Struthio camelus: one gene and its partner. The protein of the gene in region 2 interacts with the protein of the main gene of each other region in a pairwise test. Links are inferred from orthologs where the notes say so. Each region holds a gene or a part of one and is shown on either strand. Other genes may lie near its edges.

Region 1 (7,791 bases), on a different chromosome or scaffold from region 2:
CAATGCGGATTTTTCTCTTTTCCCTGTGTGCTCCCTTTGCTCTGTGTGATCAAGACAGCAGCTCCTAGACCGTGCAGCTTGGCCTTGTCAGCCTGTGTAGTGGATGGCTTTGCAGCATGGCCTTTTCTGCACGCGCGGTTTAGCCTGTGGCATTGCATGACCTGGGCCCAAAAGGTTCTCCCTGCCCCATTTGGGAAGTCTGGGGACACCAGGCTGGAGCACGGTCAGAAGAATATCATGCATCATGCCAGATGGGAACCACTCCCCATTTCTCTAGCCACCTCACCCTTTGTGGGCCCAGGCCCTTTGCTCTGCGTGTCTCCACGGAATTGCTCTCACTCAGATGTGGAAAAGGACCTCAAACCGCCAGTGAGTATGGAGCACTCTAGCCCTGCCACCTTTCTGGCCCATTCCCATCCTCCTGCCTGTGCTGCAACCTCCCCACGGCTGCCTCTGTTCTGTTCAGCCCTGAAGCTGCCTTGTAGCTGTTTGCACATGTGGCCGTGTTTGCAGCTACCCGAGCTAGAGCTGGTGATGCTGCCTGAGATACTTCTAGCGAAACAGCGGAGCAGGGTGTTTTGGAGGCTGTTAGAGCACTGAGGGTTTTTATTCCTGCTCGTTCCCTCTCATGGGGAACTGCAGAATAGGGACTGCCTTACCGAGGCCAGCCGGCAGTGACACAAAGATCACCAAAGACATTTCATTAGTTCTGGAGTTGTCTGCAGGCTGCTGCTGTGCTTGGTGGCCGCTGGGGCGGATGGAGGGAGGAAGGCAGGAGCTCCGTGGCGCAGCGAGCCCCCGAAGGTCGGCCGGGGCGTCCCCCCGCCCTGCTCCTGCTGGGGCTGAGCGTTCCTGCCCGGCACAGGGAGAGGCTCCCTGGCCACGCTCCTCCCGAATGAGAGGCAAAGCAAGGGTGGCAGCTGGGCTCCCCTGGGGAGAAGCTTTGCAGCTCCCAAGTCCCTGCTGTGGCCCTAACTGCAAAATAGCACACAGGCTGCTGAACCCTCCCGGTCCCACACAAGGGCTTGTGCTGTCCTTGCCCCACAGCTGAGCCGGCCCCGGGCCCCCACGGCCCCTTTGGGTGCTCATGCCTGCCTTGCCTCTGTCCCCCTTGCTCTAGCGTGCTTGGGGCGCTTGTGCCAACCCTGCTTTCCTGTTTAGACAGCCGCAGGCTTTTCTGAATGCATCTCTTGTGGGTTTTTTTCTCCTTTTGTACTCTCTTGTCGTGAATATCTGTCATTTTGTAACCAAAGCGCAGGATGAAGGGGCTAGCCCCCGTCACAGGATTCACTTACGAACGGAGAACGTTATGCATGTTAGAGTTATTAATTCTGTATTCAGATCCTCATTGAACCCTCGTTTGAAAGCTTTGATGCAGGCAAATCAGAGTTTGTGTGTTCACTATTCTAAGGAGCTTGGAGCAGTCTCTAGAAGGAAGTGTCCTAGACCTCACCTCCTGTATGTTTCCTAAGGCTTTATATAATAAACTGTTTTAGTGACACTTGCTTTCACGTGTTTCTTGAGCAGCAGGCGCAGGGCGGCGGGCTGCCCGAAGGGGTCTGCGCTCAGCCTTGTCCTCCAAAAGCAGAGGTGGTCTGTGGCTCCCTGCAGGTATCTCCCCTAGCTCCACCGTGGGGACAGGCCGGGGTCCTGGCAAGTCCCTTCCCCATCCTCACGCCCCGGCTGCGCCACGCTGCATCGCAGCCCAGGAGCGGCAGCTCCCGCCGCATCCGCAGCGATGGCCCGGGGCAGCCGGCCTGGGTCACCGCGCCGCTCAGCCACGTCCGGCGGCAGAAGCGTGCCCCCCGTGCCCCCGGCCCGCGTGCCACCTCTCGGGAGGAGGCTCGGGCGGATGCTGCCGTCGTCCGCAGCCGGGGTGGCAGCGGGCTCCCTTCGCTGCAGCGCTGCGTGCTCGTTGCTCGGGATGTCAGCTGGGGACCCGTTTATTCCCCTAGCATCTGAAACTATTTTCCGCAGATTCCTTTACGTTTACTAACAGCAGCCACGACTTCCTCTGGGCCGGCCTGCTCGGCCCCAGCCCCGGCCCCCCTCGGCGCGGAGGCGTCGCTCCCGCAGGAGCCGCTGCCGCCGGCTCCGCGCAGGCCGCCGCGAGCTCGTGCCAGACCGCGGCGCTGCCTCTGGGCGTGCAGGCTCCTGGCTCCTTCAAAGGCTCCCGCAAACGTTGGCGCCGGCAGCTAAAGGGTTTTTCCCAGTACGATTCTGCTGCCGTTGCTGCCCTCGACCTGCGCTGGGCTCTGCTTTTGCTGCCGCTGGGCCCCAAGCGATGAGCAGGCAGCTCTGGCCCGGGAGGTTTCCAGCGGCGTCTGTCCTCCAGCAGCAGCACCACAAACCCTTGTTTCTGCAGCGCTGTTTCCAGGGATTAACCACAAAAGGTTTCTGTACAAAGGGCCCCCAGGCTCCTCTTTCAGTCAGCCTCAAGAGCCTCACGTTTTTAGCCAAAAAAGGAAATGACCCAGCTGCACGTAGCGCTGGAACATCTGGATTTTATCCCTGTCATGAATGGGTCATGGATATGCACGGCCCGGTGCCTGGCTTGCAGGAAGGGGAGGCTGATGTCATGCACAAACGTCCCCTGAGACTCCCGGAGCGCGGGTCGGAGCAGTCATGAAAATATCGTTAAGGGCAGGCTAACGGTGGGGCGGGGGCGGCGGGGGCTGCTGCCCCCTCCCCGGCGCTTCCCACCGGGGCGCCGCTGCCGGGAGGGAGCGGGTTTGTGCCGGTTCGGCAGGCCGCTCTGCCCGGACAGGGAAAGCCGCGTCCCGGAGCAGGACGTCGCCCCGGCCCGTCCCAGGCCAGACGCTCGTGCAGCGGCTGCTCCCCCGGCCGCGACCCTCCTGGCGCCGCCAGCCCCGGTGCACGGGGCACCGCCAGATTGCACCCCCTTACTGCTCCTGGGGTGAAGTTTCATGCAACGGGAAGTGGAGGAACGTTAAGTTCAGGATCTTATCTCTGCTTTTATTTTTAGACAGGCATTCACGAGGAAAAAATGACGTACTGAGAGGCAGCCTCTAGTGCGGGACCATAATTAAAGACAATATTCTTACTTTTAGTATCATCCTCTCCTTGGTGAATTGGCTGTTCCCAGGGCAGAATCATCTTTGTCTGCCGTAATTATGCCCAATTTTCTTTTTTTGTTGCTTTCGGCTTAAAGTAATGTAGTCTGCATGGTAAAAAAAGATGAATAATTTATTTGTGAGTTAAAATTTAATTACAGCTTTGTATTTGGCAAAGTGGGGGCAAAGCACTGGCACGAGCTCTCCTCGGCACTACGGTTGGATGTGAAGAAGGCGATTGAAACCGAAGGAGAGTGGAAGGACGCAGGCACGGCTCCCGCGGGAGGGTCCCCCCGGCAGGTCGCTCGGGCGCAGGCTGCTGGGCCGCCGGTTCTGGTGCGCGGCCCACGTGGTCTTTGCGTTCAGCAGCAACGGCCAGCCGAGGTCCGCGTTCGCCAGGTGCCGGGCTGCAGCTGGGACGCCGGGGCAGTGCGGGCTGCACGCTGCACCGCAGCTCTTCTTCCTTCCAGGCCCCAGGCCGGGCCGGCGGTCCGCCAGGGCGTCGCGGGGCCGGGGCCGGGCCGGGCCCCGCGCGGGCGCTGCGGCTCTTCCCGGGCTGCCAGGGTCCAGGCCACGGGGGCTGCGCTGCTGGGCCGGCGCTGACGGCCGCGCGCTGGCCGAGCCGGCGTCCCCGCACCTCGCCGGCGTCCCCGCACCTCGCCGGCGTCCCCGCACCTCGCCGGCCCAGCCCTCGTCTCAAGCCCAATGTTACGAGACGAGACGCGGCTGCTTCCCCGCGCGACTCCTCCCGTCCCCGTCCCCGTCCCCGTCCCCGTCCCCCCCTCGCCTCGCTTCCAAGGAAGGTGGCCGCAGTGCGGAGGCCGGGCCAGCCCCGACCCGAGGCCGACGGCAGTGCGGGGCAGCGCGCGGCACCGGAGGGTCGGTGCTGCCCAGCTCCCCCCGGCCGCAGCCAGCGCTGCCCTGGCGCCGGCGAACTGCGGGGTGCAACGGAGCGGGGAGCCCAGGCGGGAGGCGAGGGCCTGGCGGGGCCTGCACGCCTCCCCCTCCGGCTGGGCCCGGCCGGCTCAGCCCCCCGCCTCGGCCGCCAGCGGGGCCGCGGATGTCGGGGGCGGCAGGGATGTGGGGGGCGGCAGGGACGTGGGGGGCGGCGGGGCTGTGCGAGGCCTCGGGGCTGTGGGGGGCGGCGGGGCTGTGCGAGGCCTCAGGGCTGTGGGGGGCGGCGGGGATGTGGGGGGCGGCAGGGACGTGGGGGGCGGCGGGGATGTGCGAGGCCTCGGGGCTGTGGGGGGCGGTGGGGATGTGGGGGACGGCAGGGACGTGGGGGGCGGCGGGGACGTGGGGGGCGGCGGGGCTGTGGGGGGCGGCGGGGACGTGGGGGGCGGCGGGGATGTGCGAGGCCTCGGGGATGTGGGGGGCGGCGGGGCTGTGCGAGGCCTCGGGGCTGTGGGGGGCGGCGGCGGCGGCGGCGGCAGGACTCGGTCGCCCCCGGGCGGGGCCGGTCGCGGCTCTGCGCGGCGGCGGGAGCTGAGAGGCGGCTCGGCCGCGGGCCTCGGCGGCGGCGCTGCGGCGGGCGCCTTCTGCCGGCCCGGCCCGGCCCTGCCGCCGCCCTGAGCCCGCCCGGCCCCGGCCGCGCCCGCCGCCGCCCCGGAACCTTCGCGCCGGCGGAACCTTGGTGGCGGGCGCGGGCCGGGCCGGAGCGCCCCCGCCGGGCGCGGGCCGGGCCGGAAGGGGGCAGCGGCGGCTTCCGGTCGGTGCGCGGGAGGATGGAGACGATCCTGGAGCAGCAGCGGCGCTACCACGAGGAGCGCGAGCGGCTCATGGACGTCATGGTGAAGGAGATGCTCACCAAGAAGTCCACGGTGCGCCCGCGGGGCCGCGCCCGCCGCCGGATCGGGGCCGGGGGCCTGGGGCCGGGCCGGGCCAGGGAGCGGAGGCCGGGGCCGGGGCCGGCGGGCAGAGGCCGGGGGGCCGGGGGGCAGAGGCCGGGGGGCCGGCGGGCAGAGGCCGGGGCCGGGGGGCAGAGGCCGGGGGGCCGGCGGGCAGAGGCCGGGGGGCCGGGGGGCAGAGGCCGGGGGGCCGGCGGGCAGAGGCCGGGGGGCCGGGGGGCAGAGGCCGGGGGGCCGGCGGGCAGAGGCCGGGGGGCCGGCGGGCAGAGGCCGGGGCCGGGGGGCAGAGGCCGGGGGGCCGGGGGGCAGAGGCCGGGGGGCCGGCGGGCAGAGGCCGGGGGGCCGGCGGGCAGAGGCCGGGGGGCCGGCGGGCAGAGGCCGGGGGGCCGGGGGGCAGAGGCCGGGGGGCCGGCGGGCAGAGGCCGGGGGGCCGGCGGGCAGAGGCCGGGGCTGGGGGGCAGAGGCCGGGGGGCCGGCGGGCAGAGGCCGGGGCCGGGGCTGGGGCTGGGGCCGGGGCCGGGGCTGGGGCTGGGGCTGGGGGGAGAGGCCGGGGCCGTGGCTGGGGCCGGGGTCGAGGGGCAGGGGGGCAGAGGCCAGGGCCGGGGCCAGGCCAGGCCTGGTCCGCACTAACCGTGCTCCTCTGCGCGCAGCTCCGTGACCAGATCAACTCCGACCACCGGACGCGGGCCATGCAGGACGTGAGTGCCAGAACCGGGGCGGGGCTGGGCTGCTGCTGGCGCTCTGAGCCCCCTGGAGCGACGTGGGAATGGGCCGCTGCCTGTCATTGCCAGAGCAGCCAGGAAACAGTGGGTCTGGGTGGCTATTAACGTTCCCCTGTGGCATTTTGGGCTTTGTTGTGTTTTTCAGAGGTATATGGAAGTGAGCGGCAACCTGAGGGACCTGTATGATGACAAGGACGGGTAAGGGCTTGTACAGACACTTCTTCTGGTACTGCATCTGCCTCAATGTCTGCTGGATGCGTTTTACCTAGGAACCTGGAGGGGCTTTTAAGTGTATTTTAAATATTCAGGAAATAATGCTGGTATTTGAGAACATTGATCAGGTTTTGGAGACTAAACCTGGCAGTGCCTAGAGCAGCGCCCAGATTTCATGCCGAATATCTTCATGTGGAACAATATACATGTTTTGTCACTTTCCTGGTTTAAGTCACTGGGGGAGGCCCTTGAGCCACTTTGAACCTTGCTAAGTGGAGACTACTGCATTTTCAATAGGAGACATGACCTGCAGTCTTAAAGTATAAGCCTGTGAAATGCATGTATAACTGTCTGAGGCCACCAAACATCTCCTGCTATGCAGTCAGTCTTACTGGAACATTGTGTAACTGAAATGCAGTACTAAACACGAAGAAAGACTATATTGGCACAAACACGTTACAGACTTCCCTGTTGTAATCTTTTTTTATGAACTTATAGCTTACGAAAAGAAGAACTCAGTGCCATCTCAGGACCAAATGAATTTGCAGAATTCTACAACAGACTAAAACAGATTAAAGAATTTCATCGGAAGCACCCAAATGAGGTAAATAATCATCTACTTCATAAGAACAGGTGACTTGTGGTCTGCTGGGCTTCATCCCTACAATAAGCAGAATTTGTTTTGTTCAATTTAGTTACCTTAATACATAATTTACAACAAAGTAAGGTTTAGTGACAAGTACTAAAATGTCACTTGGGAAAAGAAAACATCTAAAGGTAGATGGTGCTTCAGAGGCTGTATGTAAGCTATGAGCGCTGCGACAATAGGAAAAAATGCAAGATGCTAACCGTGTTCTCTGGGTGCTGTGTATTAGTTTAGGAACACTCTGCTGCTGAGCTGGCATTCAGTCTCGTCTTTCTCATGCTGCCTAACGTCAGATTAAAGGGTAGTGTCTTTTCTTCTTTGCAAAAGTAATGGTGAGGAAATGCTGGCCTGCGCTGATGAGTTCAGGACCTCTCTTCTGCACTCAGAATTAGTTTGGATAAATGTGGGAAAGGCAAAGGAATTTCTCTGCCGTCACATTGTAAAGTTGTTTGCTGTTCTGTCCCTCCAGTCTCTGCACTGAACTGCAGACACCTCAGATGTTGGCTTTTCTGCCCTCAGTAGCAAGGAGAGTCACCCTCTGCTATTTAAAATCTCAGATATACTGCACGTATATGTGCAGGCAGGGTTGCTGAGTGGTATGAGTAAACATTATCCAAGGGGAACCAAGTACCCAGAATCAGTAGGGAGCTGGAGTTTTTGGTTTTGTTTTCCTCTATTGTATGGGGAACTAGGATTTGGAACAAGATTTTCATAGACTGTGCGCTGGATGCCTTTTCAGTTATGAGGTTTGCTACTGTGATTTCATATTGACCGTCCTGGGACATTAGCTGAAGTAATCTTTTATCTGAAACTTCTGTCTGTTTTTGAAGATCTGTGTTCCAATGTCAGTGGAGTTTGAGGAGCTGCTGAAGGCCAGAGACAACCCAAGTGAAGAGGCGCAAAGTAAGTCTGTAGTTTTATTCTGAGGCTAATTTAAGTAAAAAAGTTATGCTTACTTGAGAGGAGTTATTTAATGAACTATAGGGTCTGTCTTGCATGTTTTAGAATTCTACTTTCCTTTTACTAAATTACTTCAGAGAATTGTTCTTATTTCATTTAATTCCTTCTGAACTGGAGCCACCCTGGAAGGTTCCACAGTAGCGCTGCTTCTCTTGGGGAATGTTCTAGTATATTTACGTAGAGAAGCAGCCAGGTATCTCATCACTGAGGATGCCTCTTGCATCATAGACATCTTGTTTAAGCATAAATTAATCCACAGTTAATCCTTTTCAAATTCTAGCATGTATGTATGATAAATCAGGAAGCTTAAGCTCATAATAAAGCTCTTC
Region 2 (7,379 bases):
TAGCTTTGGCTGCCTTCTCAAAGATCTCTCTCCTTCAGCTGTTCAAGCTAAATTCTTAGCCTTCAACACCTTCTTTGTCATTTCCCTGTCCTTGAGCAAATATGTGCTTTGATACAAGTTTACAGAGACCAATTATTAATGTGTTTATGTAACAGCTTGGTATGAGACAGGCCTTTGATGACTTTCTTAAAGAAATGAATGTCTTCACTTTTATCCTTGCACTCACCTGCAAACACAGGAGGAAGGGAGGAGGCCCACACTCAGCACACTTGACGTAGGGCTCTGTGAGGTAGGAAGAGCAGCCTCGGCACGGAGGCTTATCAAAAGGGTCATCTGTGAAGCCAACAAGTAAATCTCATGCAACACAAACATGACACTGTTTTTGCTATCATTCAAATATCCAATAATTTTAATAATTTAAAGTGAAGTCAGCTGTATATAACCTCTTTCCTACTGGAGCTTCTCCAAATAGCCGTTGAAAGTTCCTTGTTCAGCTGAAGCTTCCAGAGAGATCCTGGCACTTCCTCTCTGCTAGACCTAAAACTTTGAGGGCTAAATAGCCTACTCTTGTGCAATGGAGTCAAAGGAAAGCCCTCTCTGGAGCAGCCTATCAGTATTTCTCAGCAGTGATGCAATGAGCTGTGCTAGCTGGTTGATTTGATCCAGTGCCCATGGTCATGTCTTGCACTGAAGATGAGTCCCAAGGACCTTACTTATGGAGAAGATTGCACAGACAGCTGTAGTTTCCCATCCATCTACCTCAAGTCTGACCTGAACAGCTTATTGTTGTGGTTGCAAAGGCATGCATTCTACTGTTCTGTAACCCATCCAATCCTCAGACACTGTTCAAATTGCTGAACAAGGAATCAAACACTGTTCTACAAGTTTTTCTTATTTTGTTCATTACAAAGTAGTCAAATTAAACAGGCTGTCAATTAGTAAAAGCCGTAACTAGTCCCACTATATAACAAGGAGGCAAAAAAGATCCAAATTCCCACCAAATAATTCATATACCAGTTGTGCTTTTGAGAATTCGATTAAAGTAGTGACCCTGTGGACCAAATATTGCTACTTTTCCGTCTCCCTCCCCCAGCTTACTGCTGATGTCTTTAAAAAATGGCAAACCCTTTCCAAATCTCAGCTTATGGTACTTACTGCTGAAGGAGGCCAGGCGCTCCATTCCTCTCCCTCCCTCTCCTCTTCCTCCCGATATTCTTGCTCCTCTGAGTAACACCTGTCCTGCTATAAAAGACTGTAGCGTAAGCTTCGCCCCAACCAGTATGTTCAACTTTCCACCTGAAGGGTATTTTCCACTTGAAGGAAAGGAGTCTCACACAGTCCTGATAGAGGAGATCCTCTCAGAATGTGCCGAGCAGGAAAGCAAAAGAGCTGTGGACAGTCACTGTAACAGGGACCACTTGATGTGTTTTCTGCAGGTGAGAGAAGAAATCAAACGCAGACAGGTAAGATTCATAGTATGAAGAGATCTGAAGAGATGGGGATATAACTTAAGGTGAATATGCCCCAGTAAAGACAGTGGCTGAAGTGACTGTAGCATCAGAAATCTTCAAATGTGGTATAGTAGCGATCCCCGCAACTGCTGCTGTGAGGGAAGTGCAGTAGCGACAACTAACGAAGAAAGAAGGAATAAGGTTTACACAAGGTCAGGGAGCGAACAAGTGGCAGAGACGGGATTTGGTTAATCCTGATTTTTGCTCTAAACCCCAAATGACAAGCCTGAACAAAATTCCCAGTGGGAAGCTGGACAGCAATCCCAATTTGTTTCCCACTAGCAAGGTACAATTTTTGTGAGAACCAGCAGCGTCTTACCTGAACCTAATTTTACCTGGACTAGTTTTCCCTCCAAGAGACTTTAATTACATAAATGACACATTAAATGCTTCATGGAATTTACTGATACCAAAAAGTCAAAGCAAAAAAGCCCATCCCAAAACAGCAACACTACAAAGTACTGCTGGTGAAATCCTAAATGGAAGCTTTCATCCGGAAACGCATGTGGTGAGCGGTTATGGACGTCTGTTATGCAAGAAAGAGCCCTGCACCTCCAAGAAGCACCAGGAAGAGAAGGAGCAGGCTGTCGGTGGCAGGGCACACAGTGACGCAGGAACCTAGCACACTGACATCCAGTACGCTTTCGGTGTTGGTTGTGTGGCAGCTCTACGAACAGCCGTTATTCACCAGTATCTGTACAGCGAGGTCCTACAGTGCTGCCCATCACCAAGGACTTGGGTTGTTTTCCACTACGGGATCTCCGGTGCATCTCACTCTTACGAGGTGCCTTAGCTGGGAAAGGCTCTGACTTTTCGCACACTGAAATTTGTGTTTATCTTTCTAGACCTTCTTCCTCCGTTGCGCCACACGGCGAAGCACGGTCCAGCGTCCCGGGACAGGCCCGCAGCTGCGCAGCCCCTCCGATCCCTGCACCTCTGCCCGCCTCCTCGGAGGACCGGGAGCAACTTCGGGGCCGGACGTCTCACCCCGCGGCCGTGAGGGACTCGCCGCGGCCCCCTCCGGACGGTCCCTCGCAGCCCGGCGTGCGCGGGGCGCCGCAGGTGGGGACGCGGCCCCGGGGGCCTCGACTGCCCACGTCGCATCGCTCCATGTCCTGCACCCCCTGCCCCACGCGCGGCCTGGCCCTGGCGGACGCGTCTCCCCGCCGCCGCCGCCGCCGCCGCCGCCGCCGCCAGGGGGCGCCCCGCCCGGCCAGGCCCCGCCCCCTCCGGCCAGGCCCCGCCCCGGCCCCGCCCCAACGCGGGCCGTGACGGGAGAGGCGAGCGCGCTCCCCTCCCCCCGCCGCGCGCGCCCCTCCCCGCCCCCGGCCCGGCCCGGCCCCTCCCGGCTCTGGGCACGGTCCCCCCCTCGCCCCTCGCCCCTCCCGGGCCGGGGCGGCGCTCGGGCCGCGCCCCGCCGCCTCTCACCTCAGGCCGGGCGGCGGGCAGGCCCCGCGCGCCGCGGCTCGCCGTGCCCGGCCCCGTTCCTGCCGGCGTGCGCGCGCGCGGGCGGGCGGTTGCGTGCGCGGGCGGGCGGTTGCGTGCGCGCTCCCGCGCCGCCGGCGGGGCCTGCTGGGTGGTGTGAGAGTGTCTGTGTCCCGGCTGTGCGTGTACCTGTACGTACAGCCAGTAGGGTGTGTCTGTCTGTCTCTGCGGGTGTGTTGTACAGCCGGCAGGGTCTCTGCGTGTGTGGTGTGTGTGTGTGCACAGCCCAGGGTGTGTGGTGTCCGGGTAGGTGCCTACAGCCTGGTGTGTGTGTATGTAGCTGTATACAGCCTCGGGGTGTGTGTGTGTGTGTGTACATAGGTACCTACAGCCTCGCGAGGGTGTGTGTTGTGTGTGCTGTGTGTTTATGTACAGACATACAGCCTAGGGGGGCGTGTATATATATGTACAGACAGCCTATAGGGTGTGCACCTGTTTGTAGCCTATGGGGGGTGTGTAGGTTTAGGTGTTCGCCTCAGCTTGGGGTGTGTGTGTGTGTGTAGGTGTAGGTGTACACCTCAGTTTGGAGGGGTGTAGGTGTGCGCCTCAACTTGGTGTGTGTGTGGGTGTAGGTGTATGCCTCAGCTTGAGGGGGTGTGTGTGTAGGTGTATGCCTCAGCTTGGAGGGTGTGTGTGTAGGTGTTCGCCTCAGCTTGGAGGGGGGGGGTGTAGGTGTAGGTGTACGCCTCAGCTTGGAGGGGATGTGTGAGTACCCACGCGCCGTGGGGGGTGCGAGCCCCACAGCCTGTGGGGAGCGTGTGTCCCTGCCAAAGGGGACCACGCTGTTACAAGCTAAAAGACAGTATTGGCACAGTAACAAATATCGTTCAACCAGGAGTAAGTTTAGGCTGGAAATTAAAAGGGGCTCCTAGCCTTATAGCAGTTTGTGGGTTTTGAGTGCGAGCGTTACTTCATCTGTACCTTCCAGCTAGGGCTTCTTCATGTGACCAGCAGCAGGGCTAAGAAGATGAGATGTGCTAGCAATTCGAATTCCCTGCTGTGGGAAAAGACAAGGCAGCGGCGGCCTTGGAGGTTGGCATTACTTGGCCCCCACGAGTCAGAGCTTGCACATGCTGGAAGAAAATTGCCTTGCCTGATCAAGGCCACATGCCAAGAAGAGTGACAAGAACGCTCCAAGTGCAGAAGAGGGACGGGACTGCCATGCATGTGACTGGAAGAGGGAGAAAAAAAGTGACTTAACTTCATTAGAAGTTTGAAGCAAGATACTGTCCCTCCAGGTTTGCAAGGCCCCCGTGTCTCATGCAAGTATATGTCAAATAAGTCTTGTAGCAGTAAAATAGTAAGGAATTAATAGTTTCTCATGTAGCAGTAATTATTTTCCTAGCAGTGATGGGGTGATTGTTAGCAACTGGCTGCAACCCCACCATCTTCTTCTGCAGGTCTTCCCCCGGCAGCTGTTTGCCCTTTGTGTCAGACTTGGCCTGGATTATGTGGCTCATGAGCTAGAACTGGGAGGAGTTACAGAGGGTAGCGCGGTGAAGGAAGATGTGAGCATGAACGAGGGAAAAACTTTAGAGAAGAGTAAGAAAGATCATAACAGGTAGACAGAAGAGAGGGTGGCCTGCGGCAGCAGCATAGGCAGTGGTGGCAGTCAGCGTCCAGGGACCAGGAGGAGAAGAATGGAGCATCTTGTTCATCTTCCCTGCCTGGGACGCTCCCCAGCAGTGATCTTTTGAAGCTGCTGCTTTTCACAAGTAACTTAGAAGCTGTAGGTGATGTGTAATGTGTCTCCATCTCCTGTCAGCTCATGAACTTGCACAAACGTCTGTGTATGTCTAAATCATTTATACAGAAAGGGATCTTTCGTCCTTCCCCTGTCTGTTTGCAGGCTAGTGCCTGTGAGGTCTTTTGTGGCTGTCCCCCATGTACACTTTGAATGTCTTTGTGAACTAGGTGCACTTGTGGGCTTGTTGAGGACATCCTGACAGAGGGCTTTGGATAGGGCTTAGCTCGCCAAGTCTTGCGTTGCGTGAAACCCTAAAGCTCAGGAATGAGTTAGCTAGTGGCATTGTTTAAAGAGCCATTTGTTTTTGCATGAGACAGTCTGGATAGCCAATCTGGCACAGTGGTAATACACATCTCGTGATAGCTCTCATGACCTCTACAGTAGCCTCATATGCTGTACTGTGTTCTTGAGGGGACGTAGTACTCCTTCTGAGCCTGGTGTAATTGTAATAGTAATGCTGATAATTAAAATGTTCTTTAGCACAAATATTAGGTAGATTCTGCGTATGTTTATGATGCCCTGGTTCTGGCAAATGTTACTGGTATTTCATGAATTTCCAATACTTGTTTGTACTTAGGCCCTGTTCTGCAATAAACTCTACCTGTCTGGAATGCCCCGCATGGGCAGTGCTCCACTCAGTGATACTGTATGTGGTGCTAATCCCCTCTTCTGAAAAGAACCACTGTCATTACTGTTCCAGTGCACCCTTTTTTTATGCTGTTGTGCAATTTTAATTTTGTGTGAATTTTTTCTGGTGCCGCCTCAGAGAACACATGACGTTGATTCAGATGAGCAGGATCTAGATCACTTGGGGGGGAAATGCTGTATTGTTCACTGGGAGCCTTGAAGGCTGCTCGTACTCGTTTATGCAGATTCTGAAGCATTTAATCCTTTGCCTGGGAACTTCAGATGAGAGCTGTTCTCCAGAGCAGACAGATGTAGCCTTTGGCAGTTGTATCTGAGAGCTGAAGACGGCATTAGAGATAAATACATTGCAAATAGATCAGACGTTCATTTTGTATCAGCACCTGAAAATGTGCACCTATTCAGATCTAGACAAGGGCTAAAGCTCAAAGATTAATATTTGTATTATCTCAAAGAGTAATATCTGCGTTATTCCTGTTGATGCTGGAGTAGGAGATCTGGTATTCTATATACTTCTTGTCTGAACTGTTTAACAGTCTGTTTAAGACGAGAGTAACATGTTGGAAATTATTTCCTTTCCCTTTTGCCCAGGCCCTAGACGCGTGTGAAAAAATCATGAGGAAAAAACTAAAAAATTGGGGAGGCAGAATTTGAAATGTCACTGGAATTTTTATTGCTTTCACCAACAGGTATTTCCTAATTCTAGGAGCTAAAATATGATTCCAGGTACTTGATGGAAGAAATCAACATATGGCTATCTTCACAGCAGTTGCCTTCTAAGTGAATTAACCTGATTGCTCCTAGCCAGGTAAACATTTCTTCCAACATAAGTCTCGTTCCAGTCTGCAATGGCTTGACTCGTGGTGGTGTAAACTGCTGTTGTTCGCTCTGCTGTGTCCAGGAGGGGGTCAGGAGAAAGCTGATGTACCTCCCCTGATGAAAAGAGTGTGCCTCTGAGGCCGGCAGCTTTTCACAGGTAGGTCTCATGAATGACAATGATTTTGAATCTTTCCTTGTAAGGCTCTTGGCCTGATGCTTCCTTCTGGCAAAGGAAGAAAAATACTCATCAGGAGTAATAAACAACCCTATTCCTAGAGTGTTATACCAGTGCTTGTGTGTTGTTGTTTCCCATATCAGTAATTTAGTGGTGCGACATCTCCTGGCTGAACTGAACTACAGAAGTTACAGTAAGCCTGATGTCTCCTGGAGGTGGCAATGAGATAAAAAACCTTTTGCCTGAAGTCTGTTCTGATGGCTTTCAGCTTGGAGGAGGCCCAGAGGTGTTACCACCTGATGGCTGTTCAATGGCCTGTGTGAAATGGCTCTTAAGGGTCTCAGTCCAATTTCCAAACCTCTCACTACAACACATTTCTCACAGTGCAGTTTCACTCCAAGAAGATCTAAGTGGATAATCTGTAATGAATAATGTATTCACATTTTATTTTTTTCTTCTCAGAAGTTTTAACAAATGAGGTGATTTTCATTTGCTATTTGAAATTATTTACCGATCATTTCTGCAAATTAAATGTTCTCAAGTGGTTTGTTCTGTATGTTTAATATTCAGAAGGCTTCTTGTGTGTTGACAGAGCTAAGCTCTCTAGTCTCGCAAGGTGATTGCTAGACCAGGGTGACAGACAAGTAAATGGATATGTTGAACTTAAGTAACTTGATCCCAATTCACTGTGAGAGGTGGGAGTAGGGTACAGCCTTGGAAGGTCACTTAATGGGGTAGGAAGCACAAGATTAAATCATTTCTTCATGAAAAGGCACCTTAATAATGCATTTCCAGGACCATGGTGATACTTAATTTTTTGAGGGGGAGGGATAGGTCTATCTTTGAACACAGTAATTGTTGCTTAAATGCACCTAAAACCAGGTTACCTCATGAAGACAGAACAAATGAACCCAAACTAGCCTCATAAGTCCTCCCCATGCTGATAGTCCCAGCTTCCCTGCTTCCCTCCTGTACCACTGGTTCCCTCCTGCCTCCG

Evidence for each region.
Region 1: the proteins of TADA2A (region 2) and SF3A3 interact in binary tests that used the Homo sapiens proteins (3 or more experiments, as listed by UniProt). The two-hybrid records come from large-scale screens. The link is inferred for Struthio camelus from reciprocal best matches to the Homo sapiens genes TADA2A and SF3A3.

Annotation. Positions count from the first base shown.
Region 1 is NC_090964.1:11,168,476-11,176,266, reverse strand, and holds the start of SF3A3 (splicing factor 3A subunit 3), read left to right. Parts: upstream 1-4,734; 5' UTR 4,735-4,798; coding exon 4,799-4,894; intron 4,895-5,571; coding exon 5,572-5,619; intron 5,620-5,788; coding exon 5,789-5,841; intron 5,842-6,354; coding exon 6,355-6,460; intron 6,461-7,332; coding exon 7,333-7,405; intron 7,406-7,791. UniProt on the Homo sapiens protein: Component of the 17S U2 SnRNP complex of the spliceosome, a large ribonucleoprotein complex that removes introns from transcribed pre-mRNAs.
Region 2 is NC_090957.1:20,323,896-20,331,274, reverse strand, and holds the start of TADA2A (transcriptional adapter 2-alpha), read right to left. Parts: upstream 3,037-7,379; 5' UTR 2,940-3,036; intron 1,431-2,939; 5' UTR 1,181-1,430; coding exon 1,156-1,180; intron 334-1,155; coding exon 227-333; intron 1-226. Other genes in the region: C16H17orf78 (uncharacterized protein C17orf78 homolog), read right to left, coding at 6,359-6,430. UniProt on the Homo sapiens protein: Component of the ATAC complex, a complex with histone acetyltransferase activity on histones H3 and H4. Required for the function of some acidic activation domains, which activate transcription from a distant site. Binds double-stranded DNA.